4 linked regions of the Oreochromis niloticus genome follow. The protein of the gene in region 1 purifies or fractionates together with the protein of each later gene. This does not show direct contact. Links are inferred from orthologs where the notes say so. Each region holds a gene or a part of one and is shown in the gene's direction. Other genes may lie near its edges.

Region 1 (7,279 bases):
AAAGACGAAGGTGGCTTCTTGATGTGAATATGCTGTTGTTTTTTTGTTTGTTTGTTTGTCCTCATATAAAACAGTGTTATGGTTTGAATTACACTGTCCTTGCATTGTCCTGGGATTAAATTTCAATTTACATTGATGCCAAAATTTACCACAATTTAGCATTTTTCCCAGCGATGAATTTCAAGTATGAACCCGGTTATTTTATTTTTTTTTAATCTCTTTTATGTCTTAGGAATACTAGTTAGAAGTATTTTACTTATGATGTCAAGAACTTTATCCCATATTTGGTGAATTATTTTTGTTATAGCAATTTAAGTGATGATGCAAAGCCAATAATAAAATCTGGCAGATGCCTCTCGGCCAGATATCACTGTTTTATAGAAGGTGATAGCATGTGGCTAAGACTTCCTATGGCTGTGCTTGTCTCAGCAGAGCTGAAACAGTCTGTTAGAGAAGGTGGTCAAGATCCTCCATGATGGTTTGCTCTCCACCAGTGCTTCAAAAGTGTCCAGTTTGCTGCTAATCACAGAGCTAGCCTTGCCAGGCAGTTAATTTACTCAGTTGGTATCTCTTCTCTAAAGCTGCTGCTCCCCCAGTCGACCACAGTACAGTGAACGGCAGTCACTACATCTCAGTGATAGAAAATCTTCATTATTTTGCTGCATGCATTGAATTTTGAGGAAACCAAGCTTGACCACTCCACAAATTATGAGGTGAAATCTCAAAGAACATTAATAACCCCAAAGATAAGTGATCTTTTATGAACAAGGATGCTTATAGAACTGATACATTACAATTTATAAAATTTTGATTGTATCTGACTCTTTTTTTTTTTTTAAATTAAAGTTTTTAGCTGTCATAACACCCACTGTGCATTTTTTGTGTGTGTCCTACTGCAGCTAAAGTGCTGTGATGACTTACTATTTTGAAATTAAGTGGCATCAATTCAAGGATGACTTTCAATGAGCACTTGAACGCACCATGGAAACCGCTTGAGAGGATCCGTAATAGGGGAAAAGCGCCATCCAATGGTAGCTCCAAATACTACAATAAACGCTGCTGTTTGATAAACAACACATGCAGGGGTATAATTTTGGAAATTACTGTATGAAACAAGGCTTATTTAATATAATCTAGCCCAAGTGAATCTTGCATTCATATTTAAGATAGCATTTAGAATATATAACAGAATTTATGGTATTGCCCAGATTTATAAACAATTCCTTAAAGTCATTCAAATGATTAAAGAAATGATGAGGCATAGTTTTAGCTTGAAAAGCTGAGAAATTCCTTTGTGTTTAACCCAGTTATTATAACAAACTATAAACAATATAGCTGAACTGATTAGAATAGTATATAGCTCCATACATCCATCAAGCCATTCTTTTCTGCTTATCCAGCAACGGACAGTGAAGAAAAGAGTACACAGGGGGGAGCAGGTGGTTACATGATTTGGGAACGGTGACCCTAAAAAAGAGAGGAGGCCTAGCTGGAGGTGGCAGAGCTGAAGATGTTCAAATTTTTATTTGGGAGTGAGCAGGATGGACAGAATTAGAAATTGGTACATCACAGGGACAGTTTAGGTTGAGCAGTTTGGAGATAAAGTTAGAGAGGCGAAGCCGAGATTGTTTGGACATGTGCAGAGAAGACAGAGTTGATATACAGGACAAAGAATGATGAATAGGGAGCTCCCAGGCAGCAGCAGAAGAGCAAGACCACAGACAAGGAAGAAAAACAGAGGGTTTTTCTGACAGGACAGGATACTGGGGTGATGATGGAGATGATGCTCAGCAGATTGTTAAAGGGAACAACCAGAAGAAAAAGATTTTAATTACACAGCAATGTTAAACATCTCAAATGTTTGAGACTTTGCTAGATTGTCTTAGTAAAAAAACAGTCTTGCAAAGGTAGGACAGCATTAAAGTGGGCCAATGTACACTTTAACCCCCACCCAGCGTGGAGAGGCATCCAAGCCCTCTCCAACTACATGGCCAGAGCCCTCCAACCCTCAACAGCAGCCTCAAACTTGCAGAGGAACTCAACACCTTCTTTACTCAGTTTGAGACCACCAGTTGTCTTGCTGGTGGTCAGACAACAATCTGAAGCTGAGAGTCCTTAAAACAAAAGAACTCATAATGGACTTCAAGAGGCACAGACAAGTCCATTGCCCTCTCATTATAAATGGAGAACGGGTTGAATCTGTCTTCATCTTCAGGTTTCTGGGCACCCACATCTCTGCTGATCTCACCTACAGCCACAACACTGACATCCTGGAAAAGAAGGCCCAGCAGCGGCTGCACTTCCTCCTTTAGTTACACCCTTTTTATACACGCTCTTTATTACTCTGTAATATTCTTGTCAATCTTCTTAATATTTATTTATAATCACCTCTATTAATCCTTGATATTTATAATTGAGGGATCTGTATATATTAGTGCTATTTCTTAAATGTGTAAAATCTGTAACATAATGTATTGTTTGGAGTTTAGTCTGTTACTGTTACTATTTTTACCATTTCTTCTTGGAGCAACTGTAACCCACATCATTTCCTTAGGGATTATAAAGTATTCTGATTCTGATTGTTTCAGGATGACCTGCCATTATCCAATGACACATCTGCTTACCTGTATCTTTTGCTCGTTTCTCCTCCTCTTCTTTTCTCTTTTTTCTAAACTGAGCATGGCTTTGAACTTTTCTTGTCCATCTTCCATTGGTTTTAATCTTGCACTCCAGTATAAACACCCATCCCCGAACCCGAGGATCACCACAAGATAACCTAACAAACCTACACCTTAGTTCACAGAGTCACTTTGTCTAGGGTTTATTTCTGGGATTTCGCACAACCCAGGATTCAAATCATGAATACATAATGGGCTTGGATTTACAACATGATGAATGACATGTGTGCTATTTGGAAGCAGCCGGCCCCCTCCCCTTTCGACAGGTTGTGTGTGAGACTTCAAATCTTAAAACTGTAAATTATAAATTGTTATTGATCCCTTTACCCCGAGTCCTAAAGTGTATATTTATTTTCTTGCTCTTCTTATATTTATTGTTTGTTTACTTGCACTGCTGTAACTGGAGCCTCGTCGTCTCGTCTCTCTATATACTGGACTGTATGTAGCGGAGATGACAATAAAGTTTACTTTGACTTCAGCAGCAAGCAGGCGCACAGAGGGCTCTCGCGCTCACTTTTCGCGTATAGAATTTCGAAAAAACATCGGTGCAAATTATGTCTGGTGTTTTCGTGTTTGTTGGTTTGTTCTTATTTTGTTTTATTTTGCAAGTTGGTTATTAGATGCTGCTCCAGCCAGCCAGAGACTCCCCCGCCGCCCCGCCCTCTCCTCCCTGTGCCGCAAGCAGCAGGCGCACCTCGCAAACGGAGGGCGCCCTTACTCCCCGCAAATGGGCGAGGGAAAACTGATCGGTGCCTATGACATTCACAAAATGCGCTGGCATGACGTCGGTGGCAGCATGAGTACAGCAATTTTGTATTTATTTTTTTTGCCGATGCCCGTGATGCCGCCCCCCACCACGATGCCGCCCCGGGCAACCGCCCGTGTCGCCCGTATCAAAAACCGCTACTGTCAGCCAGGATAACCTGGAACAGAAGCTACTGCTGGCTTTCTACTGCTCCTCAGTGGAGAGCGTGCTCTCCTACTGCCTGGGTAGGCAGAGGCCACAACTGAGAACATGAAGGCTGCCCAGAGGGTAATTAACACCACCCAAAATATAATTGGCTGCCCTCTGCCACCCCTGGGGACCATCACTAGCTCCTCCTGTCTAAGGAAAACCAAGACAGGTGACCCCTTGCACCCCGCTCACCACCTGTTTGACCTGCTGCTCTCTGGTCGTTGCCTCAGATCAATGGAGGCCACACCTCCAGACTCCCAAACAGCTTCTTCCCCTGGGTCATTCGGACTGTCAACAAACACTATCTCTCTAATGTGTGAGTTTTGTATATTGTTTTGTATACATTCCCTCTTGGCTGTATATATTTCTCCTGTTTGCTTTTTATTCTTGCTGTCCGCCACAGTTGGTGTGGAGCACCCACGATTTCGTTGTACACGTACAATGACACGTGTGGTGGCTATCCTGTTCTATGCTAATATACGGGAAAAAAGTGTGCAAACCTAACATGCCTATCACATTATACATATATCTTGGAATAATTTAAGAGACTTCGGATATTTCAGAATACCAAAGGCAGAATGACCCTGAGATTATCAGTCAAAGAAGGGTGGATAATTTGAGCCCATACTTAACCCCTCCCCTACGAGAAAAAGACGCCGGAAGGTAGGCTCAGGCTTCTTCTTAGGTTGGTCCAGAGACTACCACCGGTTGTCTGTGTCTGCGTGTTTGTCGGGTGCTGCTGCTGCTGACTACAGAGGAAATTGACCTCTGGATTATCGTTAAAACAGTCACGGTACGTAGCTTAGTTAGCCCAGGTTGAGTTTTGCAGCTTGGAATGAACTGCTCTTTGTTTAATTTTGCTTGTGTCTTTATTTGAATAGCCTCGCTGTGGCGGCTAAGAGGCCTCAACTAATGTCGACACTAGGTGTTAGCTTAGCTAGAACATTGTGCATGGTAACGCTAGCTTCCTGGTTAGCCTAAATATTAACCGATAACATTAAAATATTATGGTTGAACAAAAAACAGAGAAGCCAGCTTTTATGTGTTTTAAGTAATAACACGCATCACCTTCAGTTGTATATAAACTGTATTCAAATAAAAGGTTGCTGCTCGACTAGCATTGCCGCTGTTTAGCCCGTGTCGTCGGTAGCTAATCGTTGGTTAGCTTGAGGTAAGCTTTAACGTTTGTTTTGAGTTAATTTTTCTAATACTAAGGTCCGCACAGGTAATTTTATTTATTTATGTAGTGGGATATTATTCCCGTATTCGGCTAATAATCATATAAACTGTCTTTCTTGCGATAGCTGACAAATTAACTCCCAGACGTAGAATAGCAGTTGCTAATGCGTGTTTACTACTAAGGGTCGTAAGTTTGTTTTCAGAAGTGTTGTCTCCTTGCAGAGGCGTTTAATATCTTAATGTGTTGCCTTTATAGATAATGCCCACAATAAAACTACAGAGTTCTGATGGGGAAATCTTCGAGGTGGACGTTGAGATAGCCAAACAGTCTGTCACCATTAAGACCATGCTTGAAGGTAAGTGTTGAATCGCGTTAAACGTTTAGGTTTTCAATTCACAACTGACCTAAATGGGAAACCCCACAGTTCACAAATATATTGTTTATACTTCACTTAATTAAACCATAATTTGGACAAATGTGTAATGTTTGAATCTTTGACAGACTTGGGAATGGATGATGAAGGAGATGATGATCCAGTTCCCCTTCCTAACGTGAATGCTGCCATCCTCAAGAAGGTACAAAATGCACATATTGCAGTGTCCAGTGGGTTTTTTGTTCACACACAGACTGTGTGGGTGGTGTTTGTTGGATGTGGGAGGGGTTGATTCCTTGTTTCCTGAGATGCTATTAACTAATTGCGTTCATCTCGCCTGGTCTGGAGAAGGGTTATGGTTTAGATCCATGGTTCCCAAATGGTGTATGTTGTGAGGCAAATGCCCTGGAGTTTTCTTACAACCTTTGTTTATTATAATATGAACAAGTGAGGAATGAGCTGCTTATTTACTTTATCAGCAGACCTACTTGGTACACACTCATTTCCCATACATAGGCAAATTATATTTACAAAAGTGTAAGGTGGAACCCAGCCTGTTGTGTGGCCTGACACAAAGCCTGACAAGAAGGAAGATGACAATTTGAGATGGGGAGTGAATGACTTTCTTTGGTAAAGTAAGTAAACACTGGTCCACAGATTTAAAATGAATAAATGTCCGAAGACAGCAGTATTAAAGCTAACTCTCGTGGCTTCAGGTGGTCCGGGTTGGCAGAAATTGTTTGGCCATATAATCATTTGCTAATCGAAAAAAGAATTTGGAAGAAGAGGCCATAGAATCTGTGTGCCTTGAATTTTTTGGCTTTGCTCGTGGTTGTAGTTGGGAGGCAAATATAAATCAAAGCCTGTGATGGTGTCCTCGACGATGATGTAGACTTCTGTATATGGTGAGAGGGTCTAAGCAGAGATCGTAAGAAGTGGCAAAGAGTGGTACTTTGTGTCCTATGGGTAAGCTCGCCTAAGAATTTGAATTGGGTTTGGTTGTCTTCCCCTTATAGTTTTAACATTTTAGCACTGCCAGGCTAAAGCTGAAATAATAAGCTGAAATGATCTTCTATGCCAGTCAATCAAAATGCATCTTAGAAGCACATTGTAATAATCTAGGAAACTTGTGTTATAGCTGGACAGTGTAACAGTGTTATAGCTGGAAAGAGCTGCTGATGTATTTTCTGAGGGTAATGTGCTCAGATGTGGTTCAGAGTTTCAACAAAATCTGAACATCAAAGTTTTGAAGGTGGACCTGGAAAAATGGACAAAATGCGATTGTTTCTCATCCTGTTTTAGCTTTTATTTTCATGCCAGCAAATCATCTAATCACATTTTTGGCAACAGACAAGTCCTGATTTTTTTTTTTTTTTTTCTTTCTCCTTACTACTCATTTCTACACTTCCTTACAAGGAGGTAACGACCTGGAATCTGTGTGACTTGATCCTAATTTGTGGCAAATAATTGCCATTTAATTTTGGTATTCAAACCTTTTATGGGCAGTTTTAACACAGCTGATGGGTGCTGTGCATAACGGGTTACCTTGGTTAAAACCATGTGTTTATTTGTTATTTTCTTTTTCTTTTTCAGGTCATTCAGTGGTGCACTCATCACAAAGATGACCCTCCTCCTCCTGAGGACGATGAGAACAAGGAGAAAAGGACAGATGACATCCCTGTATGGGATCAGGAGTTCCTCAAAGTGGACCAAGGCACCTTGTTTGAACTCATTCTGGTAAACATACTTGCATTATTTTGCATTTTCTTTGGATTGAATTACAACTAACAGGTGTAAGCAAAACCCTGCCCTATACCTAACCTTAACAGCAACACCTGCACATGGTTGATTATCATATCATTACATATGGATCTTACTGAGTTATCTATATTTGTATTGAAGCAGTTTTAATAGAAAAAGGACTTTTTTAAAACAAAAGAAAACAAAAATAGTGGTTAACAGATGCTCGGTTAAACTGCAGGCCTGTCAGTGGTGTCCCTGCAGTTAGCTACAGTGAAGTATCCCTTCCTTTCTTTGCAGTGACTGTCACATAATCCCACTGATGTGTCTGTCACTTAATCCTCCTCCTCCGA
Region 2 (7,010 bases), on another chromosome or scaffold:
CTCCTATGGAGAAATGCGCTGAGTGTCCACGGTCAGGTCAAATTGCTCTCCCTCCTCCAGCAGCGGGTAGGAGCCTGCAGAGGTTTGGAAAGATGTGTCTCCTCCAAGATTTTTTATTGAAGTTTGTACATCAGCTCTAGGCTGCTGTGCAGATCCTGCAGGTTTCACTGCAGGAGATCCTGCTGGCAGGGCAAAGGTTTCACTTCTGCAGGCGGCATACAGACCAAGAGAAGTCCACGAATGGACTGAGGACAGCATGGAGTCCCTGAGCAAAAGTGTCTTCAATGTGTGTTTATTTCTGAGTCAGTGAACTTTCTAGTCATTACTGCAACTCTCCACTGTGTGGAGCTAATGCCACTAGATCATTATACTGTCTCAATTTCATGCTAAATTATGGACATTTAAATGAATATTAATGACACATATTGGAGGATTTCTTCACACTTTTAATTCTAGTCAAATCCCTCATGGATGGAAACTATTCAAAACCTTACTTTTGTTTTTAAGTGGTGTAAAAAATCTTTTGGATTTGTAATCAGCCCCTGAGCACTGATTGAGATGCTTCTTTTATTTTTATTTTTATTCTTATTGCTAATTACTCAAATTAATTGGCTTTTTGAAGGCCTTAAACATCCCAGAGGGGTTCAACAGAGGTGAACCTAAGTGAAAATGCTTTTCAAGTAAAGATTGCGCTCACCGCAGCTGACAAAATCACGTAAAGCTACCTTACTTTAACTCGCCAACATTATATTCACATACTGAAGAGTTATTCTTCAACTTTCTGGTGATTACTGGATTTTTTGACTTCTTCAGCCCTTGTAGTTCGCTAGTTTTAGATTCGTAGTCGCTGACCAATCACACTACACCCATATAATCTAATGAAATTCAACACAGTAGATTGGCCATGACACTCTACAAGGTTCCAGTGAGTGGCCATGATATCCTAAACTTCATTAGGTTAAATTTTTCCAAAATGTCACCCATACTTTGGATAAGCTTTGTGAAAGTGGAATTTTTGGGAGCGCTGTATGAGTATTGGATAGTACAGAGTGAAAGTGGAGTGCTTTAAGGTGGTTTCCTGTGTGCATTTTTCTTGTCTCTGGGGTTTTTACAAGATAATCTTTCAGTTGTTGTTATTTTCTCCTGAAATTTGTATGAATTTATGGGGATACATAAAGTAAATACCCCCTTAAAAATTATAGCCTTCCTACTTCTGATAAAATTACTGAAGATTACATTGATGCCAATTTCTATATGTACTGTAAGTTATTTGAGATGAAACAGAGAACTGTTAAAAAGAACAGATCGCCCTTCTGTTGTTTCACTGCTAAGACCTTTTCTTTTTTTTTTCTCTTCACACGTCATCTTCTCCAATAATCCCCTGTCAGGAAATCAGAGATTGTGACTAAAGACCAGAGGACAACAAAGTGGCAGTATTGTGATTTAAAGTCTTAAGGAGGATTCGGCTCAGTGGTGCTGTGCTGAGTCACCTGGCTGTTGTATATCCTGTTGATAAAAGAACCTGAATGACCATGCTGCTCACTGAACCCTCAAAAATTGCAATCACATCGGAGATTTTAAAGCCCAAAAACACCATGGCAACATCATGGTGCTGGGTTGTCATATAATAGAAGGAAGGACGGATGGAAAAATGTACCAAGACATTCTTGATCAAAATCTGCTTCCATCTACCAGGATGATGCAGATGAAAGCAGTGTGGACGTTTCAGCAAAACAATGATCCCAAACGCACAGCCAAGGAAAAACCAAATGGTTTCAGAGAAAGAAAATAAAGAGGCTATGGCCTAGCCAATCACCTGACCTGAATCCAATTGAAAATCTATGGAAAGAACTAAAGGTCAGAGTTCAAAGAAGGGGCCCCACAGAACCTTCAGGATTTGAAGTCTATTGGTGTGGAAGAATGGGCCAAAATCACACCTGTGAAATGTGTGTGACTAAGCATGTTCAATACTTTTCACTGTCATGTCTCATATGTTCAATACTTATTTTAGCTGCTGTTTGTATATTTATATCTATATTTGCCACACTTTGTTTCAGATCAAACAGTATTGTTGGGCTCTCTATGTCCAAAATTTTATCTCATTCTACCTGGCCCTGTGTGGAAAAAGTAACTGTAACTAAAGGGTTTTTTGATTATTTTAAGTTCATACCCGACATTCTCCTTCAGGGTTTTCTGGTAGGCAGCAGAAATCATGATTCCATCAACTACAGCAAGTCGTCCAGGGTCTAAAGCAGCAAAGCAGCTCCAGACCATCACGCTACCACCAACATGTTTGACTGTTGGTATTGTGGGTTTTTTATGAAATCTTTTGTTAGTTCCAGAAATAACAGTACTTAAACCTTTCAAAGCGTTCAACTGCAGTCCTGCAGTAATTTTGGTACTCCTGGGAAAAGCCACTCCTGGGAAGCTCTAAGCGCTCGTTGTAGTTCGCTGGAGACCCAAAGCCTTAAAAATGGCTTTGTAAGTCTTTCCTAACTAATAGATGTCATTTACTTTGTTTCTCATCTGTTCTTAAGTTTCTTTAGATCGTGGCATGATGAGTTGCTTTTTTGACCTTTTAGCCAACTTCATTTTGTCAGACAGGTTCTGTTTATGTGAGTTCATGATTCAACATGTCTGTCAATTAACCAGGCCTGGGTGTGGCGAGTGAAATTGAACTCAGCTTTCCAAAAAATATAGTCAACAAATTTCATGTCGACAGTTACAACATGCTAATGACTGCAGGTTTTATTCCTTAATCAATGAAAAAATACATTTAGTTGCTTTTTGTATTTACTCAGGTAAGTCTTATTTTCATATTTATTAGATGAACTGAAACATTAAATGTGACAATCATTCAAAAAACTAAGCAATTGGGAATAGGGCTAGTAGTTTTTCACAGCCCTGTAGTTGAAAATTACATTTCAGTGCAGCAGCCATGCGGCAAACTCTAATCTGGGGAGTTTGATCAAATTGTTAGGACTGTCACACTGGTGTCACTATGTTAAAGTTAAACAATCATTCCTTATGATTATGAAATTCCATCAAAGGTAAAATAGACAGGCACAAAGAAGTTCTAACTTATCAAATGACTGCAAATAACTACCTTACCCAATATCCGGGCATATCCGGAAACTGAACACAAAATAACCAAATTAAAGGAAGCAAAGGCAAAAGAAAATTAATAGGAAAAAAATCTGGGACTCCAATTGCTCTTAGGACTGAAAAGATTTCTCGGATGAGAGGTGAAACGTCTTCAAGGAAACTTAAAGAAGTCCAGACGCTTTTCTTTCCAAGCTCCTTAGACTATGATGACCTGGATGACCGAGAACCTTCACAGACAAATTGGAAAAAATGGTAAGTTATCCAGATAGTATGTCTAAACACATTTAATCTTTTTTTATTTAGAGTTTACGTACAATATAACAGCAGTATATTAACAATTATTAAAAAAAATTCGTCTTCTATAATGACATTAAAAAAATTAAACTTCCATTACCATTCAGTTTTTGCTTCCAGAATTTTCATATTGGATGCAATTCATTTGTTAAAAATATGCAAAATGTTACTTTTGTGAGACTGCGTAGTGTGTAAATTATTTTTATACTTGTTTTTGTCTTTGTAATGTTTTGTTTTGTTGTTTTTTGCATCAACTAGAGGGGGTGTGTCGTGCTGGAAACTTACTCCAAAATAAAGATCATGTGGAGGCTCGGGGTTTTTCCAGGCGCGAAATACTGCCCTCTCACGGAGTGCGACAGTATGGCAAAAATAGCAACCTTCGGTTGAAACCATTCAAGTGACAAGGTATCGATGCGGTCAAGTGTTACCCCAAATCTGATGAAAATACCACCAACTGATCAGCATGGTGGAATAAAATATTAGTGTTAGGAAGTAAAAAAAGGAATACCGCGATGGATGTTTTGATAAGGTTTGTGGGGATTGTTTCGGTCCCCGTGTAGTTCGGTGGAGTGGTACGTTCCAGTAGTATTGAAGGCAACGCTGAAAACGGTTTGTTTTCACCGAGAGGAAGAAGCGTCGCTTATATTCGCAGCTGCTACCTCGTCGCTTTAATAAACGGTTGTGGCATTTCGTTTACGTCTGGTTGGTTTTTCGACAGCAGCTTTTGCCGTTTTTAGCTCGCCATGGCTCTGTGCGGGGGTGTCGGAGCCATGGCTTTGCCCAGCGAGCTTATTGTCCACATATTCTCCTTTCTGTCCGACCGAGACAAGCTCCGGGCCTCGGCTGTGTGCTCTCGCTGGAGGGAGTGTCTGTTCTACCCCGCGCTGTGGACCGAGCTCAAACTGCGAATAGGTGGCGGTGGATGCTCCAGCTCCGACGAAACCCCAAAGCTTGAGTTCCTTATGCGAAAGTTTGGCTCTTTTGTGCGAGAGTTGCAGCTGGAGCTCGCACCGGTGGAAGGAAACCTTAGCCATCTGAACAGCGACCCGTCGTCCGCCAGGATGGACCAGCCTCCGGGTCCCGATAGCGACGCGCAGCACAAGGAGCGATGGAGGGACGCCGTGGCCACCTACTTGGACCAGGTGTTATGTGTGTTCACCAGCATCCGAAACAATAGGTAATACTAGAAAATAACCTCTGGAAATGTCTGCTTTGATATTTTTAATTGGAGTGAAAAATTCGCTTGACATGTTCGCCCTGTTTTATTTTGTTTTTTAAATTTCTCGGGTTTAGGTGCGTCGCAGTGGCTAGCAACTGGCTAGCTCAGTTAGCTATAAACAAACCCTGGCATTAGGAGTTACGTAATCATGCCAGGTCTTTGCAGTGGCAGCAAGCGTTATGTATATGGAGGCACTGTTGGTTTATTAAGGACAGCTTTGCATGCATAAATTAAATGGTGGTGCATGTGCGAGGCATCTGCATGCCTTTTGTCACCTGTCCTATTTTACACTTCTCATTATGGTCTCTCCATAGCAGCAGGTACAATGCAGCACTGGTGGAGGCTAGAAGGCTTTGTTGGCTGTGACTTGCTGATATCAGCACTGACATAAACACACACACACACAAATATACAGTGTGTGGATGTATTTAGCCTGTTGTCCGTTTGTAGGATGTGATCACTTATATTCTCTCACACACACACACACACAGGATAATTTCTCCTACTCTGTAAAAACTTGGCTCTGTTAACGCTTCAGATTTCATTGGTGCAGCTGTGTCACACCTTTTTCCACCTTCTCCCGCCTTCTTTACAGTGTTTTGTGATGCTGGCATTCAAAACTGGTTGCTTTATCTTAATCCTACTAAAGGGGTTGAAATATTTGACATTATTTTGTTTGTTTTAAAGTTGTTTAAGTTTAAGGACAACTTTAACCCTTTTCCTACTTCCCTGCTGGTATACAGCTCTACTAGCTAGATCCAGAAAGTTGCATTTGGTGCCAATGCTGTCTTTTAACTATAACGTTTCAGTTCAGTAACAGGCTGTTGTTTGTATAAGCTTCAGCAGCAGAGGAAGGATGTTCTCCCACTTCCTACACAACACTTTCACTGACTATCAGTGTGTATCAGGCAACATATAGACACCAATAATGATCTATCTGTAGTAAGCCACTTCCGGACACCTGTTTATTCAAACAGACTTTTAAAATGTGACAAATTTAGGTTCATCCAGATGTAGAATTGTGAAAGTGGGCTTTGTGGGCAGAACTGAAATGGATGAACTTCTTCCACTGATCTCATCATGGTGATGAAGCATTATGAGAATCTAAGAACCATGGTCTCTTTTGTGCATGGTAGTTTTGAAAAGATCAGGACTACAACCTCTAACTTCAGAGCTCGCTATCGGGTAATGAAAAGCCCGTTTTTTGTTTTTTTACCCTTTCATTTAGTGCGCTGAGCCAGCTCCACCAGCACTGACGTATGTTCCGAATAATGAGAACAGACAAGTTGTTGTTTCTTTCTAAGGGCACTAAGTAGCTGCACATGAGCCCATAAACCTGAACTCTCAGCTGATACACAGGAAGTGGGTACATCAAAGGTAATATGCGCTTCACCTCGCAGGTACGCCTGTGCCATGTTCGGCTGTATGAAACCCTTGTGGTTGAACTGGTGCATGTGCGACACTTATGCAGGGGATATGTTCCCATCAGTATTGAGTTGGCTAATTCGGACATTTAAAAATGTTGAGAAAATGGCCTACAACAAGAATTGTTATCAATAAATAATTGCACTTTGCTAAGTGTTAATTGTAGGGATGCACTAATTATGAAATTCTGGGTTAATGGAACCTGTTTGACTATTATTTGAAGACTGCACATCACCCAGATAACGTTCATATTTGTTTATAATGTAATGGCTGTTGGTGTATTGTGTCGTTGTACTGTTGGACTATTTAAAGGTCGTCATCATCATTCATAGAGATACTGACTTTAAGCACAATCATTATGAAAACAGTAAAAATAATTGTGTTAACTAATTTCTTAAGATATTCATATACATGTTATTGTCACTTGCAGTTATTTGATTTTAACTTATGTCTGACCAAATTAAAATTAAACTGAAGTGATAAAATGGCTTAAAATGTTAAAATGTAAATTTTCCAATATTTTTGTAACAAGAACAAATCTATTGCCTCTTAATCCTGTTGGTTCATTTAGCCAAAACAACACTGATGTGAAAGTAAATGTCATCCTATTTGCCGATAAACCTGCCCTTCCCTCTTATGTTTGTAACCGGTCCTATAAAGAAATTGGTCCTTTCTGCTTTTCGCTATGTTTATGTTGGTGATCTTCCAAACATTACTATCAAAAGAGGTGTAGATCGTCTGTTTGAAACAAGGTAATTGGCTGCATTGTGACCACTATGCTTACATTGACTGCATCAGTGTTTGAAAGAATCAACTTTGGCATATACACTGCTGCTTGATCTTTGCCAATCTATTTTGGGTGCCAGGATATAAAGGGCTTTCAACAGCACTGCAGGAAAGTGCAGGGCAGCCATAATTCTGTGCGGGATAGAAAGCAGCTTGGGAGAAGTGGGGACTAAATTACACT
Region 3 (7,918 bases), on another chromosome or scaffold:
AGCGAGCGATGTCGGAAAAGGTCAAATATCTTTTACAAACCGTTTGGAATTAGTGCCTTCATTCAGTAGTGCTATTCACAAATGGAGTTTAATATCATTACGGTGCCCTAACATGTCCACATTTAGCGGTGATTTAATGATGTAGTGCTTCAAATCTGCCTAAGAGTAAATTCATTAGAGTGACATGTAAGTCTAAAATTCTAAGCATGTTGCACTGTATGGCACCATTCAGAATGGTTTCCGTTCGAGTCCCGTTTTCACACACACACGCGCACACAGACACACACACACACTTCCTGCTCATCCACTCTTATTAAATGGGTGCAATTGACTTCTAATAACTTCCTATACTTGTTCCCCACCAAGAACACTTCTGGCTAAAATAAGTGAATACATCATATATCACCCAAGCAGGAGCAGCTTCAGACTTTTGGGGGGGGGGGGAGAAAGAAACTGAAACACCATTTGTTTAAATGAAAAAAAAAGTAAGTTTAACAGGCCAGAAAAAGTAAAAGTGTTGGATTGGCCACCAGTCACAGAGGCACAAACTCAAAGTCCCATCTTTTGTTCCTACAATACAAAAATGGTAAGACATTATGCAAACACTGCATCACTGAAAGAAAACGATAAAAACCACTTACCTAAACACAAAGCGGTGAAAAATAGTACAGTTTGGCCCGCGATGGACGGCGCAGGTATGTTTTTGCATGAATAAACGTTTCTTGTCTTTTTTTTCTTTCACATTTAAGACATAGTCACTGGTGATTCAGCATTGCAGATTATTACTCTTTTTTTCTAAGTTCCTTTGGATTTGTGCCTTTTATTGAATTTGCATCTGTCACAGCAGGGAGAATTGAGCTAGCATTACTTTGTAAATCTATATATACACATGCATTCAACATCATATTTAATCCCCCAAATTAAAGGAAAAAAAAAACTATTCCAAACTCCCTTTTCACTACATAAGAATTTAAGCTATAAAAACCTGCATGAGAGTCCACATAGAGTTTGCATGGAGGCTTTGCAGTTTGACGTGAGATATGCAGCAGGTTTGTAGAGGTGCTGGCGCTGAGGGGGTGGGGGCGTGGGGGTATGGAATGCAGCCTTATTCCATTAATAGGGGTTGTGGGGATGGGCCTATTTGTCACCCCCTGCTTATCCAAATGGGACTCTATGTAGTTGGGTTTTAGATTCACATTATGCTGGAAGAAGAAGAATTGGTAGCGGACGCTGCCAGGGCGGGGCAGGTCGTCACCACGAGAGAAAAACACTGGAGTGTGAATGCATATCTACCATCTTCCGGACCTGCAGAGAGAACACCGGGTGTAAACATAAACCTTTAATCTGCACCTTTGACCAAACTTGTGATCCTTTTAAAACATACTCACGCTTCTCTCTCTTCACCACTGCGGGGGCACGTAGCTGTAGCTGGGTGTGCCAGGAGGCCGATATGTGGGCATCGTGACTGGGTGGGGAGCGACGGGCGCTGGCGATGGAGTTGTCAACAAAGTTCCTGAGAAGTGAAAGCCACAGGTATAACTACAAATCGAACACATTTGTATCCTGGATAAGAATCAATAAACCGCTGCAGCTCACCAGCTGACATGGCCATAGTGGTGCCGGCTACCATGCCCATGGCAACACCATTGTTGCGAGGAGGGATAGGCGGAGCATACATTGCTGCAGGCATCCCATTGGGCTGGACCACTGTCGTGTGATGGATGACATGAGGCGGTGGAGCATACAGAGCCTGTGTGTAGTAAGGGCCTTGTTGTTGTGAAGGTATTAGTGCCTGGTGGACAAACAACCACACGTTACAGCTCAAGCATTGAACCAGGATGAAGAGAGACGGCGTGTTATTAAAAGCGAGGACTGACCTGTGCATAAGGGTTCTGTTGGGGGTAGGTGCTCCTGACAGGGTACACAGCAGTTGGGTAGGGGTTTGGGGAGGAGGAGTATGGTGGGACGGTCCCTGTGCTGGGAGAGCAGGACACTTTGAAAGGAGCGCTTGGAGCATAGCCTGGAGAGGGAGGAAGACGGCTCACATTAGTGCCGTTTGCTTTGGGACAAAATAGCTGAAGTCTGCGTAGAAACACTGGCTGTGCAGCTCAGTAAAACAGGACCCTCATAGAAAAGAAGCACACACACTTTTTGGGGCTATTAAGAGTCTCTTTGGAACTTTTATTCTTTATTACGTTATATTTATAATTAATTCAAATAAAAGAAGTCCGCTGTAACCGTTTGACTCTTTTGAAGTGCATCAGGAAGATGTGTTTCAAGACCTATCAGATAAACTCCAGCAGATTTCAGCGTTACTTTCTTCTCACCATTAGGGAAGCCTGGGTTTGCTCCTGCGTAGACGTTGGGAGTGTACACTGGAGCAGCTGCTGCGTATCCTAGAGGAAATCCAGCTGCCAAAACCAGAAACAAAACAAGAATATAACAGTATTCTCAATGCTGGGAGATATTTTCTTGTAATTATGCTTGTTTCTTAAACCACTATGCTTCAGGTTACCTGGATAACCTATACCCTTAGTGTTGGTAAAGGGGACCCCTGTTGGTGCAGGGCTGTATACTGGGTTCATTGTGGCTGTCTAATTGCAGATGCTGTAAATAAGAGAAGCACAAACAGGTTGGAACGATGCAAACATCATGCGTGGAAATCAACTGCTGATCTGTGAGCCAGCAGAGCTCTTGTGGAAAGGATGGACATGCTAATATGAAGTTTTCTGTTGTTGTCGATTGTGACCCTGTTGTTCCAGAAACAGCACAGTGATTGTGAAAAGATTCCTCAGAAGGTTTAAACAAAACCTTCAGTTTGGCTTTCAGAAATCTTAAGCATGTAAACTGGTTTGGTGTGTGTTCTTTGGAGCTTAGACTTTGACATACTGTCCATTTATTAGACTGCTGTTACTGTAGCTTCGTCACATTTCATTACATTTATATTTCATCACATGTGCCAAACTACCACTGTTACCTAACGACACAGCTAAAAGGGACCACAAATAATAACCGTTCTCCCTCAGTGAAGACTGACAGCGGTCTGCATGAGATGACCTTGCAAGGTCACGGTAACAACAAAGCGAAGACCAGACTAATAAGCATTTTCTGATACTGTGTGCTGACATGCACCTATTACAGTTGTATTGGCATTACTATATATTCTGTTTGATATTAAACATAACACAGAGAAGGTGCTTGCACTATTTTTAAAAATGGTGTCAACATGGTTCCCAATGCTCTCAGCACTGTCTAAAGCAGAAAGAGAGACGAGCGCAAATAGTCTCTACACAATGTTCGTGAGCAGTTTGTGAAAGACATTTTTGGAAAATTAATACACTCAGCTAGACCTTTGATTTTGCATTTTTGATGCCATTCTGTTGTTCGGGGCAAACCTTAAATTTAACAAGGTGCTATAAACATTCCTCAGAGATGTTACTCCACATTAACATGATGCTATCTCCTCCTCTTCCTCCTACCATGGGGTCTAGATCATGAGTTGGCTGTGCTCTTGGCCTCTAGAATTCCCTCCCAGCAAATATCCATATCCCTAACTCTCTCTCGCATCAGAACATCTCTTTAAACCGTGTGTAAGGTGACCTTGAGTGTTTTGAAAGGCGTCTGAAACAAAATGCATCATTATTGTTATTACATTTTACAGCTTTCTTAGCGAATTTCCCGAAGAAACCTTGACTTTTGCTTCCCATGACGGTGGCTGGGTTGAGTTTAATGCATCTGTGCTTCCACCTAGCGGTAGCTAAAAAACGTGAGCATGAAAAACAAAAACACATAAAACCCTTCCACCTCGTTACAACGTGCTCATGAATGGACTCTGGTAAATATAAATTCACAATTACACTTACACGGGTTGCTAATAAGCACAGTCACGCTACAAGTGAATCCACATTTAACTCCAGTTTATTTGATAGGCTGACTCTTTATAGGAAACTGAAATTAATCAAAACTTCTCATTTTCAAAGAGAGAGAGAGGAACAACATAATTTAGCAATTCGGCTTTATTTGTGTTACTTTAAATATACTCTTTCACCCAAACACAGTGGACGACAGGGGCGAGAGAGGTGTGAAGCTATGCGTTTCTGTTTGGATTTTTTTGTTGTTTTGTTTTTTTTTCCTGGAGGTTTTCTTAGACTAAAATCTAAATACGTGCTGCTCATCGGTAAGTCTTAAGGGCTGATTTCACCGTCCAAGCACAGACGGCTCGGCAGTTACATGTGCCCTCTCAAAACATGACGTTCGATACGTCGCCTGCAAAAATTAAGATGGCAACCTGAAGTAGAAGAATTTGGAAAGGTGAACGCAGCGGGGCTTTGTTACCACCAGCTAGCTTAGCTCACAAGCTTCACGATCTCCACCACCTGCAGTTAGCCTAGCCTGTTTGTCGCCGTAGGTGAGCGCTGCTTTACACGCTGATCCGCTAATCACCTGTCTGACCGCGCAAAGCCGCCGGAGTGTCCCCGGACAGCAGACAGATGGGGGACAGCTCGTCAAGCAGGCCGCATAGCACAGGAGGCAGGCAGCCAGACAGCTGTGTCCTGCGGTGCAGCCTGTCCCGTTACCAGATAACACGCACATCTTTCTGTCCCGATAACAAAAACCCACAACAACTTACTGTTAGCTGCTCTGACCGTCAGTTAGTCACCTCCTCCGGTCTTGTGGGTTAAAATGAAATAAAGCTAACTGCTGTTTTGCTCCCAGATGCTTTGCTTAACTCTTTTGAGCACCCCGCGTCACTTCCGTGGTGTCACGTGGTATACAAATTAAAAAATATATATATATAATATACTATACTTTATGTAAGACGCCGGTTTTGTTTTCTTCAACAACGTGTAAATCTCATGTTAAACAATTAAAACACCAGTAGTTCTTTTTAAATTATTATTATTAGTTTTCCGTCAAACACGATCTGAAAATAATTATCAAATCCAACCAACATGACGTAACAGGTCAGATAACGCCTTTTATTGGTAAACAACTGCATCGTCTTTTAATACGGTTCGTATTTTTTTGCGACACAATCACAACACTTTTGACGTTGCAGCGGTGGAACGTCCAGTATCGCAACACTGCAACAGTACTGTGTAGCAACCCTCCTTGAACTCATTATGTCGGCTCTGCGGTCCTTGCAGGCGGTAAAATTTATTTGACTCGAGCTCGAGCGTCGCCTCATCAAACAGCTCGTCGTCTCCGGACTCGGGAGACTTTGCTCACGTCTTAAACTGACCACTGTTTCTTCCGAAATAATTTTTGCGTTTCTGTGACAACAGGACAATTAGTGCTTCGTGCCCTTTGAGGACCTTGACGCATCGTTTCCATTCAGCCATTGAAGTGGGAAGAGTCGGGTCCGTATACTGTTGTGGTTTTAGCGCGACCTACGTGTGGGTTTTTACAGGTTGAAAAAATGTTGCTGCCGAGCTCATATTAGGAACCGTCCTGCGGTGTACGGTGAAACTACTCGCTCAGCTGGCGTCGTCGGTGAAGAGCAGGGGCATAATGTCTGGAGCGGCGGGTGGGGGAGGAGGCTCCTCCTGCTTGGGCGCAGCAGCGGCAGCCAGTTGCAGCTCCACCGGCTCTCCATATGCGGCTGCAGCCGGAGGAGGCGCAGGGGTGGCGGGGAGGCTACCAGCGAGGGTCTTGGAGCATGTTTTCTCCTACCTGGAGCTGACTGACCTGATGCGGTGTTCGCTGGTCTGCTGGCACTGGAACAATATCCTGGCGGATGAAAACAGCGAGGTGTGGCGCAGCCTCTGCAGCCGGACTCTGAGCGACGAGGCTCTGCGGTCTGACATCCTTTGTAACCTGCCCACCTACAAGGGCAAAGTAGGTTTACCAGTACACGTCCCTCTGTCCTGGGGTTACCTGTTTGGTGATGCCTTTACACAAAGTGACAGTGTAGCCATAAACATTACTGAATGTCAGCGTAATCCAGTGCTTTTTAACGTATTCAGTGAAATATAAGACATAAATGGGCATAAAACTGAATCCTGCTTGTTGTAGTATTGTCTTTCAGTTGGTGATCACACTGAGCAGGTGTAGAGTAGATGTTTTGTTGCCATTGGGCTTATCACTGGAGTCCATATTGAGTTGACTCTCCAGCCTATTGTTGCATAATAGAACAAAACCTGTTTTAAGCAGTCTGTGTATGGAGACTGTTTATAGGAGTGTTGATGGCATGAAAGTAAGGTTTGAATGAGAACAACTTGTCTGTGTCCAATGTCAGTCTAAGGACGCTCATTCATTTGTTCCAAAGTGTTTTTAGAAACACTAAACACTATCTGCATTCTTATGAAAAACATTTGAGCTCTACACCTCTGAATGGTGCAGTGAGCGTCCTGCAAGATAGAAAGTAGAGAAGCATGTTCTTCTTCTGTATATATGCTTCACAGAACTTTTTTTCCCCTTACTAATATTTAGATTTCCCAGCAAGTGTCTGTGATTTTGTTAACTGTAACTGTCTTCCTGTGCAGCTCAAGGCCTTTCAGCATGCTTTGAGCTCCCACGACTGCTCCCGCAACGTTTATGTGAAGAAGAACGGCTTCACTCTGCACCGCAACCCTATTGCCCAGAGCACAGACGGCGCACGGGGCAAAATCGGCTTTTCGGAGGGGCGACATGCCTGGGAAATCTGGTGGGAGGGCCCCCTGGGCACCGTGGCAGTGATAGGTATCGCTACGAAGCGGGCGCAGATGCAGTGCCAGGGCTACGTAGCCCTCTTGGGCAGCGATGACCAGAGCTGGGGCTGGAACCTGGTTGACAATAACCTGCTTCACAACGGAGAGGTCAACGGTAATTTCCCCCAGTGTAACAATGCACCTAAATATCAGGTAGGAGTCGAGATTTGAAATGACATTTTAAAAGGAAATTGTGTAAAGAGTACAAGTGAAAACATGATTATAAGTCCTGATGTGACTGTGCCTGTCCACAGATCGGGGAGAGAATACGAGTGATTCTAGACATGGATGACAAGACGTTAGCCTTTGAGAGAGGTTTTGAGTTTCTCGGAGTGGCTTTCCGTGGACTGCCCAAAACCTGCCTGTTCCCTGCTGTGTCTGCAGTATACGGCAACACTGAAGTCACCATGGTGTACCTGGGAAAACCTCTGGACGGCTAGATGCAGATCAGCCTGTGCCACCGTGAAATCATACAAGCTCCTGTCAAGTGCAGACAGACTGCTGATTCCCCCCCTATTGTAACGTTTTAAGGTTTTGGAGGGTAAGTGGTCACATTTCTTCCAAACACAGTAACCTTATTTCCATAAGCACACAGAGAACTGTCTGCAATCTACTTCGACTCACCGAGAAAACAGAAGGTTTTTTTGTTTTTTTTGTTTTTTCAAACTGGACAAACAACAGGGGGAAAGGAATGTGCAGGGACTGTTTGTGTATCTACGTGGAGAAGTCCACTTTTACAGTTTAGCTGCTGAACTCTTTTATTCACCTCACAGGGGAAACGTAATTTAATGTCACTTGTTTCGGACTCGCGCTGAAGATTTACTTGAGATTTTGTCTGCTTGAAGGAGGCCTGAGCTACTCTAAACCAAGTGGCGAATACTTTAACGCAACATTTTTAACATGTGAAACAGTCGTTATCTTGTGAGTTAATGGACAAACACATTGTGGAATGACTTCATTACAATGAAATGAAACCTGTGAGATGTATTGTAACATTCTGGCATAGGTAAACCTCAAGGACACATGGGCCACGTCCATGGCACGTGTGTGGCAGTCCATGCATGCGCACTGTTGTGCTGCGTATGCACTGAAACATCTCCCCCTTTCAAGTACTTACTCAGTAACGGTGGAAACTAAACCTGTAACATGAAATGTGTCTTTTTAATGTGCTACTGTAGTATTACAATTTATTTATTTCCTGGTTTTATCTATGGTACTATAGATACTGT
Region 4 (7,283 bases), on another chromosome or scaffold:
GACTTGATATGCCTTTTGAACATTGCCATTCTTACAGTACTGTGAGTTGAAGTTTCTAAGCCAGCTTACTAGAACAATTGGGGAAATTTTCTCCCTGCTCACAAAGTTGCTCAGTTCAAGAATCAAGCCGTTTGTGACTTCGATCGATTTTGCCCGATCTGAAAAATCCCTCATTTCCAAAAGATCTTGCCGCTCGACTCCAATGCTATCACATATTGGTCCAACAAAATTAAAATTGACATCTGATTCCAGGAAGACCAGCCTTGCATCATATCCAAGACTCAGTGTTGTGGCAATGCCTCTTTCAATCAAACGGCGAAAATCTGCTGACTGATGTGCGGGGAAGATCCTCTTGAGCCAATCCACAATGGCGATCCACGGAAAATTATTGTCCTCTCTCAGAAGTCCTACTTGGATCATAAGTCTGTTCTTGCAGGGGCCCTTTTCAAGCTCTAATTCTTCTCCTGATTGAGGACCAATGAAGTCTGCAACGAGCTTCCAGTAGTACTCATCTCCTGAAAAATAGAAATCAAAGTAATTACAAACGTAATCCTTTACGAAGAGGTAAGCCTTTTTAAATGAACTGGTATTAGGCACAGTCACTATGTGAAGGTTTATCAGCAAAAGTGACAAGTAAGTAGCTGTTTACTTGCAATGCATTCAGACTTACTTAGATTGGCTTCAGTCACAGCTGCTTTCCCACAAAGAGAAAAATCTTGACCCTCCTCCATTGTGTGCTGTTTTAAAAGAGACAGAGATGAAATTCTTCAGTCCTCAGCCTACAGAAGACAAAAACTGGATGGATAATGTGTGACAAATCAGCATGATTAAGATCTGACAGACCAAACAAAACAACAGTGGGCGGGAACTTTTCAGTGCTTTTACAATGACAAATTTGTCCTAAATTTGTATGAAGATGAACGGGTGAAACTAAACAGTTAAAGCTGTAGCTATTATTTCAAAATGTTATGATCTTAATAATAATTTTTGCTGTTTTTCTTGCACATTTTTTATCTTCCCCTACTAAAACTCATAAAGAGTAATAGTACTAATACATCACAGTGAGAAAAAGTGCATCATGGCACAAACAACAAGTAACAACCATTTCCTTATCGCGTCATGTCATTTTATTTTATTATTTTATTTTCATAAAATGTTTTGGATCCTGACCACTTCTAATTTCTCTGAAAAAAATCACATTAGGGTTAAAAATTTCAGGTCCCTACTGTCATTAGTTTTCATCTTTTCAGAGGGAATTTGAAATTTCACTATCTGGAAAACTACTTGAGCACGGTCCATTAAACAATTAGGGTACTATGGCTCAACACCACTACCTTCATCCATTAAAATACTTTTTTCAGAAAACAATTTTTTCAGAAGGGACCTGAAATTTGACATAACTCTCATAAAGATGAAAATATTTGGCCTGAGTTTTTTCAGACAAATGTGAGACTTTGCTTTAAACATCTGCAAAGAAACAACACTGACACTCTGTATTCCCTAAAAAAGAAAACAAGTTGTTTATATTTTATTCTCATTATAATAAAATTTCATGTTACTAAATTGAATCTTTTCAGTTAATCAATCAGACTAATTACTAACAATCTGACTTTCAAACAAAACACATTAAATTTTTTGTTTTTACAAAATTACATTTTCACACAGAGAAACAGTTTACTTTTCACTTGTAAGAGTTGCATATATCAGCAACTACATTTCTAATATGTCTGTATTTTGTCAAGCATATGCACAGTTCATGTGTTCATCTGTGATTCAATCCCCCACCCTCCCATCTCTTTGTATGTTGTCTCAGCCAGACTTTCCTGTAATTTTTAAAGTGGTTTTCAACACTACCAGGCTTTCTGAAGCTCTCTCAAAGTGTTTCTTTGGACACTGGGAGCGTTTTCATCCATTTCTGTACCACTTTCAGAGTATTTTTGTTTGTGGAGTTTTTAAGCCATTTAGCTTAATTATTGAATTATTTGAGTATAAAAACAAACCTAAGTCAAGTGATGACAGCATTGTGTTTATACACATCAGACTACTTATTAGCAGCCTGTCACAAAACACATTATGTGTTGTCATTTAGTTTTAGTTTGTTTGAGCTTATGAAAAATGCCAATGATAGGACAGTCTGATAGATATATAATAGTATTTTTGAATGAACAAGGTGATTCCCAAAGACCTGTTGTCCAAACATATATGCTGAGATATAGTAAATGTCAGCATGGTGTGCGGTGTGTCTTTAATAAATCTGAGGAAGCTGGATCTTGTCAAAATGATAGAATGCACACAGATTTTTACCACAATGCAATACAATTTGGAAAGCATCTGATTTACTACAACTTCATTTTTCAGCATGACAATGATCCCAATGATCCCTGTCAATGTAGTAAAAGCACACCTGGATAGAAAAGCACACAACTGAACACTATCAATCACAGGCTGACCTCAACATCGCTGAAGCAGTGTGGGATGATATTGGCAGAGAACGGAACAAAGAGCAAGCAACTTCCAAAGAAAAGCTTTGAATGCCCTTCAAGAAGCTTGGAGAAGATTTCTTAAAGAAATGACAATAAAGCATGTCTAAAACAATCAAGGCTGCATTGAAGAATATAGATGGTCCTATCAAACATTGACTTTCAAACTTGTTAGAATTGTAGAAACTCAGTTTTTACCTTGTATATTACATTTCCACATATGTTTACATATGTTACAGTGATTTGTTGTATCCATTACCCATTTTTCTATATATAGCTGGTACTAGTAAAAAAATGTAATGTTACAAAAGTGTGTGACATATATTCTAACTAGTCAAACTTCCAAAAAGACATATTCATAGTTTAATTTTTAGTTCTCAAATAACATTTAATGATCTACAGTAAACACTGTTTTCAGGAGCAACTTAAGTGATCATCATAATTATTTTTAACTGATTAAAACTGAATTAAAGAGAACTACAACTAGTCTAAAGTAGGTAACAAACATGTAAATTATAAAACAAAAATATTAAATCTAAATGCCTGCAATGGTGTTTGAATAGAAGTCAGTTATAAGTTTTTGAATAGCTATTAAACTTATGCAAAGACAAACTTATTAATAACATGTTGACAAATTTTTTAAAAAAGATCTCTGGGTATCTAATTATAGATGTTACTTATCAAAGTGAATTTCTAAAAAGTTGGTCTGTAATTATAACTAGTCAAAAAATAGATGAATAAATAAAATTACGATATCTATGGCTGTGAAATACTACAGGGGTGCATGTCATAGCAGATCAAAAGTACAAAACAACAACTAAACATTCTGCAGAAATAATATATTTAAGTACACTTGTATGACAAAAATGTACATCACATACTAATTTATCTTGTGAGAGGGGCTAAGCTATGTAAAGAATCCTGATTGGATACTATGTGTGTTTTATTATCAGTAAACATGCATAATTAATTCCTAACATGTATAAATACATCGAAATATGTGACTATTCCTGTGATTTAATGGCATTATAAGCAGGTTTTTCAGAAAAAAAAGGATTGTAGCTACATCTCTAAGTGAATGCTAATGCTGGACTAAATCTACATGCTAATGCTAGCCTTCTGAGCAACATGCTACTATTAGCACCTACTTTACTAGCACAAAACTAAACATGCAAAAGTGCAATAATCCGTGATTAATACCTGAGCAGAAAAGATGTGCTGGGTTCTGTAGCGTTCCCAAATAATTTGAAGTGTATGCGCTGTAAATTTATGATTTAGTAGTACAAGTTCTTACCCAGAAACAAAAACACCAGGCGCCTGGGACACGCTCCCTCTCAGAATACACCATGAAGGGGTGGAGACCGTGCGCTGCAACGATTGGCTGGTTTTACAGAAGGCGGGCATTTGTCGAGGTCTCAACGAATCATTGCTGCGAAACGGCCGTGAAGCCCCACAGAAGAAGAAACTGGGAACGACAGATTTTCAACTTTAACTGTGTTGTTGGTTAACGTGTTATCCTATAGGATGTTAGTTTTTATCGAAAAGACTGCACTTTTATATATTTATTGTTAAATTGCGTGTTTCTATGCAAATGAATGATTTTCATTTTTTTCATTTTTTCATAATGAGTAGGTGGATTTTTTAAATGCTCTCAGTTTTGTGAGAAATGCAACTCTAAAAGTAAATAAATGATTTAAAGTTTTTAAAAATATATATATATTTATATTTAGTCTGCGTGGAATTGCAGCTGAATGTATTATAACGACGGTAATATTTTGTTACTTGAAGACATCTAATAAAGTTTTTTGTTAAAAAAAAAAAAACCAACAATGCGAAGTGCATTATGGGTCCACTTACTGCAGTTGTCTTCGTGATCTAGCGGCAGGTAATGTAAAACACCAATTTATAAATGTATTGTTTTAAAAAGCATTTCTGTTAATAACATTTGTTTAATTATCGACAGGCTCTGATAATGTTTACTGCCGCCGTCGCAACGATTTCCATGCCGTATTTTGTCATATTATGCTCCAGGGCGATTTGTGGGAAGTAGCTCAGTTAACTGGTGCCAGGTAGCGTTAGCTAACTCTCTAAACAATGGCCAGGTAGGTAAGAGCTTAGTAATAATAAAATGTTAATATATTGCGTTTGTAAAGTATTTGATCGTCATTTCTCGTACTTCACATAAAGTCGTTGGTAGAGCCGTCTTCTGTTTGCAAACAATGAACATGCGCGCGCAGCTTTGAAATGGAAAACGGCTTGTTAGCAAACGTGGACAACAAATTTTTGTTAATATGGCTCATATCTTTACATAAAGGGAATCAACAAAACTACAAATGCATTCAGTAAAATCCACAACAGCCTCTTTCAGGATGCAGTTGCTGTACTCCACATTGAAACCCCAAACAATAGAAAACAGGGACAAATTAAATAAATTACAGTTCTGCAGCGAAATATTGGATCCTTGGCTTCATGTGGCTGTAACAACTCGGCATTGTTATAGATGTGGTCATGCAGAAGTCTCCGTGGACTGTGATATTTGCAGAGGACAATGTGAGATGTAGTGAAGGTAGGGTAGGTAGGTAGAAGGTGTAAGTGAGTTTGGAGAGGTGGAGGTATGCTCTTAAGAGAAGAAAAATGAAAGTCAGTAGAAGCGAGACATATCCACGTTTGTGAATGAGATGGAGACTGGTGTGATAGAGAAGCTGCAAGGCATAGAGTTAGTGATAGTTTAAATACCTGGGGTCAATCATCCGAAGGACAGTGCACAAGAGAGATGAAGAAGATGGAGTGGGTGGAGACGGGGTAATTTGTGACAGAAGCACAGCAGCAAGACTTAAATGGAAGGTTTACAAGATGGTAGTGAGACCTGCTAGGATTTATGGTTTGAAGATATTGGAGCTGAAGGTGTTAGAGTTGAAGATTTTCTTTGGAAGGGACTAGGATGGATATCAGAGGGACAGTCATTTGGAGAACACGTTTGATAGGCAAAGCTAAAAATGGTTTGGGCATGTGCAGCGGAGGGATAGTGAATATATTTTACAAGGGATGCTGAATATGGAAATGCCAGACAGGAGGAAGACTGCAGAGGAGATCGATGGATGTAGTGAAGGAGGACATACAGAAGGGTGGGTGTGACGGACGATGGTAGGGAGAGGGTGAGATGGAGGCAGATGGAAGCAGGTAAAGAAGGTGACTAACAAAAATAGCAACTTTCTAGATGTTTGGTCATACCACAGTAGATTTTTGTATTTATATGTTATCCCAGCTCTAACTATCATATATTGGCTTTGAATATTTCAGCTGGTGTAGAATTAATTAAAAAATCAGAAAAAAAAGCCTCTTAATGTTCACTCTTCACAATACCACGTTTTGACTTACGGGCCTGTATAACAAACTTTCACTGGCCTCTACAATATTTTTAATGACCCAAAAAAGCCAATTTAATTGTTTTCAATACTGGAAGCTCTGTCTTTAATAATGTAGTATAAAATAATAGTAGACTTATATTTTATAAAGTTACATCTCCCAAATAAATGGTAGCTAAAGCTGTAAAATAATTGTCATGTATAACATTATCTACCCCTCTTTCCCTGCAGGAACCACACCTGTTAGCCTTCGGCTATAAAATCTGCCTTTTTTAATGATCATTTCAAACTGAATAAACAGACTGCATACAGACAGCTCTGCTTTATTTAGTCACGCTTTGCAAATACTACCTGCATGAAAAAATACTAATTTGTGGGTTCATTTTGGCCAGTGAATTGATACATGGAAACTGGCCCCAGTGGGCCACTAGTTATTTTGAACCCTGCAACTGTAATTTACTTACCCTTTGTAATCAAAATACATCAAATGTCTTGGTTTAAAAACAGATGTCTGTAGTCTGTCTAAATAAAGTTTGCAGATGGAGCAGTATGTCACAAAAATGTATCCTCTGCAGAGGAAAACGACACATTTTCACACCAAATCTCTTTCCCAATCTACTGACATTCCCAAGCTCTTCAAGAAAGACTTTTATCAACACACCTGTTCAACTCTGAGCATGCCAACTGTGTAGTTATTCTAACTTTTACTTTAGTGAGATTACCTATTGTGAATAGTTACAAATGTTCTATATAAGGAACAATTTTCCCTTTTAATTTCTGTGTATAAAAACTCCTCATTACTTATTTGCAGATAAAGACGTGGTGCAGGATGTTTTGCATCTGTACAACTGAGTGTGAATTTTGTGCCTAAATATTGGGAGTTATGAATAATCAATTCTTAAGTAATCTGTATATTTATGTGCAGTCTACAATATGCAAATAGGAATGTCAATTTAAAGTCATGTTGCTACATCCTCGTTTACTTTATCTAACCATAATTTAGACGTGACTTTTACAGTTTTGTTTTTATGACCACTTTGCTCACTTTGCTATGTGCATTTTATTTTATCCCCAGTGGAGATCAGATTACTCTCACAGACTTATCTTGATCTGCTTCTCATTCCAGACATTACCACCTATGAGGCTACCATGCTGATATTTAGTTTTCCTGGATTTAATCTCACTGTAAATTCAAGATAGCAGCAACTATGGATGCATCTGAAGCAGAAGCCTCAACACAGAATCAGGGAAAAGAGGAAGGTGCATCATCAGGTCAAGGAGATGCTGGAGCAAAACCAAAAAAGGCATCTTTGAAAAGAGCTGCAGATGCGAAAGCAAAAAAGAAGCACAAAAAGGCTCGAGTGTCCAGACCTGCCCGGCCTGGTTATACTGTCCATCAAGGGGAAGATATGCTTCTCGTTATATCGAGTTCCACCTC

The links.
Region 2: the proteins of skp1 (region 1) and fbxo33 purify together in Homo sapiens (affinity purification with mass spectrometry; 5 studies listed by BioGRID and IntAct, with this or other methods). This does not show direct contact. The link is inferred for Oreochromis niloticus from reciprocal best matches to the Homo sapiens genes SKP1 and FBXO33.
Region 3: the proteins of skp1 (region 1) and fbxo45 purify together in Homo sapiens (affinity purification with western blotting; 7 studies listed by BioGRID and IntAct, with this or other methods). This does not show direct contact. The link is inferred for Oreochromis niloticus from reciprocal best matches to the Homo sapiens genes SKP1 and FBXO45.
Region 4: the proteins of skp1 (region 1) and fbxl6 purify together in Homo sapiens (affinity purification with mass spectrometry; 6 studies listed by BioGRID and IntAct, with this or other methods). This does not show direct contact. The link is inferred for Oreochromis niloticus from reciprocal best matches to the Homo sapiens genes SKP1 and FBXL6.

What each region holds. Positions count from the first base shown.
Region 1 is NC_031975.2:22,837,669-22,844,947, reverse strand, and holds the start of skp1 (S-phase kinase-associated protein 1), read left to right. Parts: upstream 1-4,270; 5' UTR 4,271-4,426; intron 4,427-5,068; 5' UTR 5,069-5,071; coding exon 5,072-5,168; intron 5,169-5,314; coding exon 5,315-5,388; intron 5,389-6,779; coding exon 6,780-6,923; intron 6,924-7,279. UniProt on the Homo sapiens protein: Essential component of the SCF (SKP1-CUL1-F-box protein) ubiquitin ligase complex, which mediates the ubiquitination of proteins involved in cell cycle progression, signal transduction and transcription.
Region 2 is NC_031983.2:25,187,387-25,194,396, reverse strand, and holds the start of fbxo33 (F-box only protein 33), read left to right. Parts: upstream 1-3,999; 5' UTR 4,000-4,142; coding exon 4,143-4,576; intron 4,577-7,010. UniProt on the Homo sapiens protein: Substrate recognition component of a SCF (SKP1-CUL1-F-box protein) E3 ubiquitin-protein ligase complex which mediates the ubiquitination and subsequent proteasomal degradation of target proteins. Probably recognizes and binds to phosphorylated target proteins.
Region 3 is NC_031974.2:26,336,730-26,344,647, reverse strand, and holds the start of fbxo45 (F-box/SPRY domain-containing protein 1), read left to right. Parts: upstream 1-4,910; 5' UTR 4,911-5,511; coding exon 5,512-5,838; intron 5,839-6,485; coding exon 6,486-6,842; intron 6,843-6,943; coding exon 6,944-7,129; 3' UTR 7,130-7,918. Other genes in the region: fam168b (myelin-associated neurite-outgrowth inhibitor), read right to left, coding at 1,401-1,513, 1,597-1,792, 1,878-2,020, 2,328-2,411, 2,516-2,585. UniProt on the Homo sapiens protein: Component of E3 ubiquitin ligase complex consisting of FBXO45, MYCBP2 and SKP1. Functions in substrate recognition but also plays an important role in assembly of the complex.
Region 4 is NC_031985.2:12,377,743-12,385,025, reverse strand, and holds the start of fbxl6 (F-box/LRR-repeat protein 6), read left to right. Parts: upstream 1-4,262; 5' UTR 4,263-4,365; intron 4,366-4,443; 5' UTR 4,444-4,582; intron 4,583-6,971; 5' UTR 6,972-7,053; coding exon 7,054-7,283. Other genes in the region: uncharacterized protein LOC100711840, read right to left, coding at 1-515, 671-737, 3,775-3,828.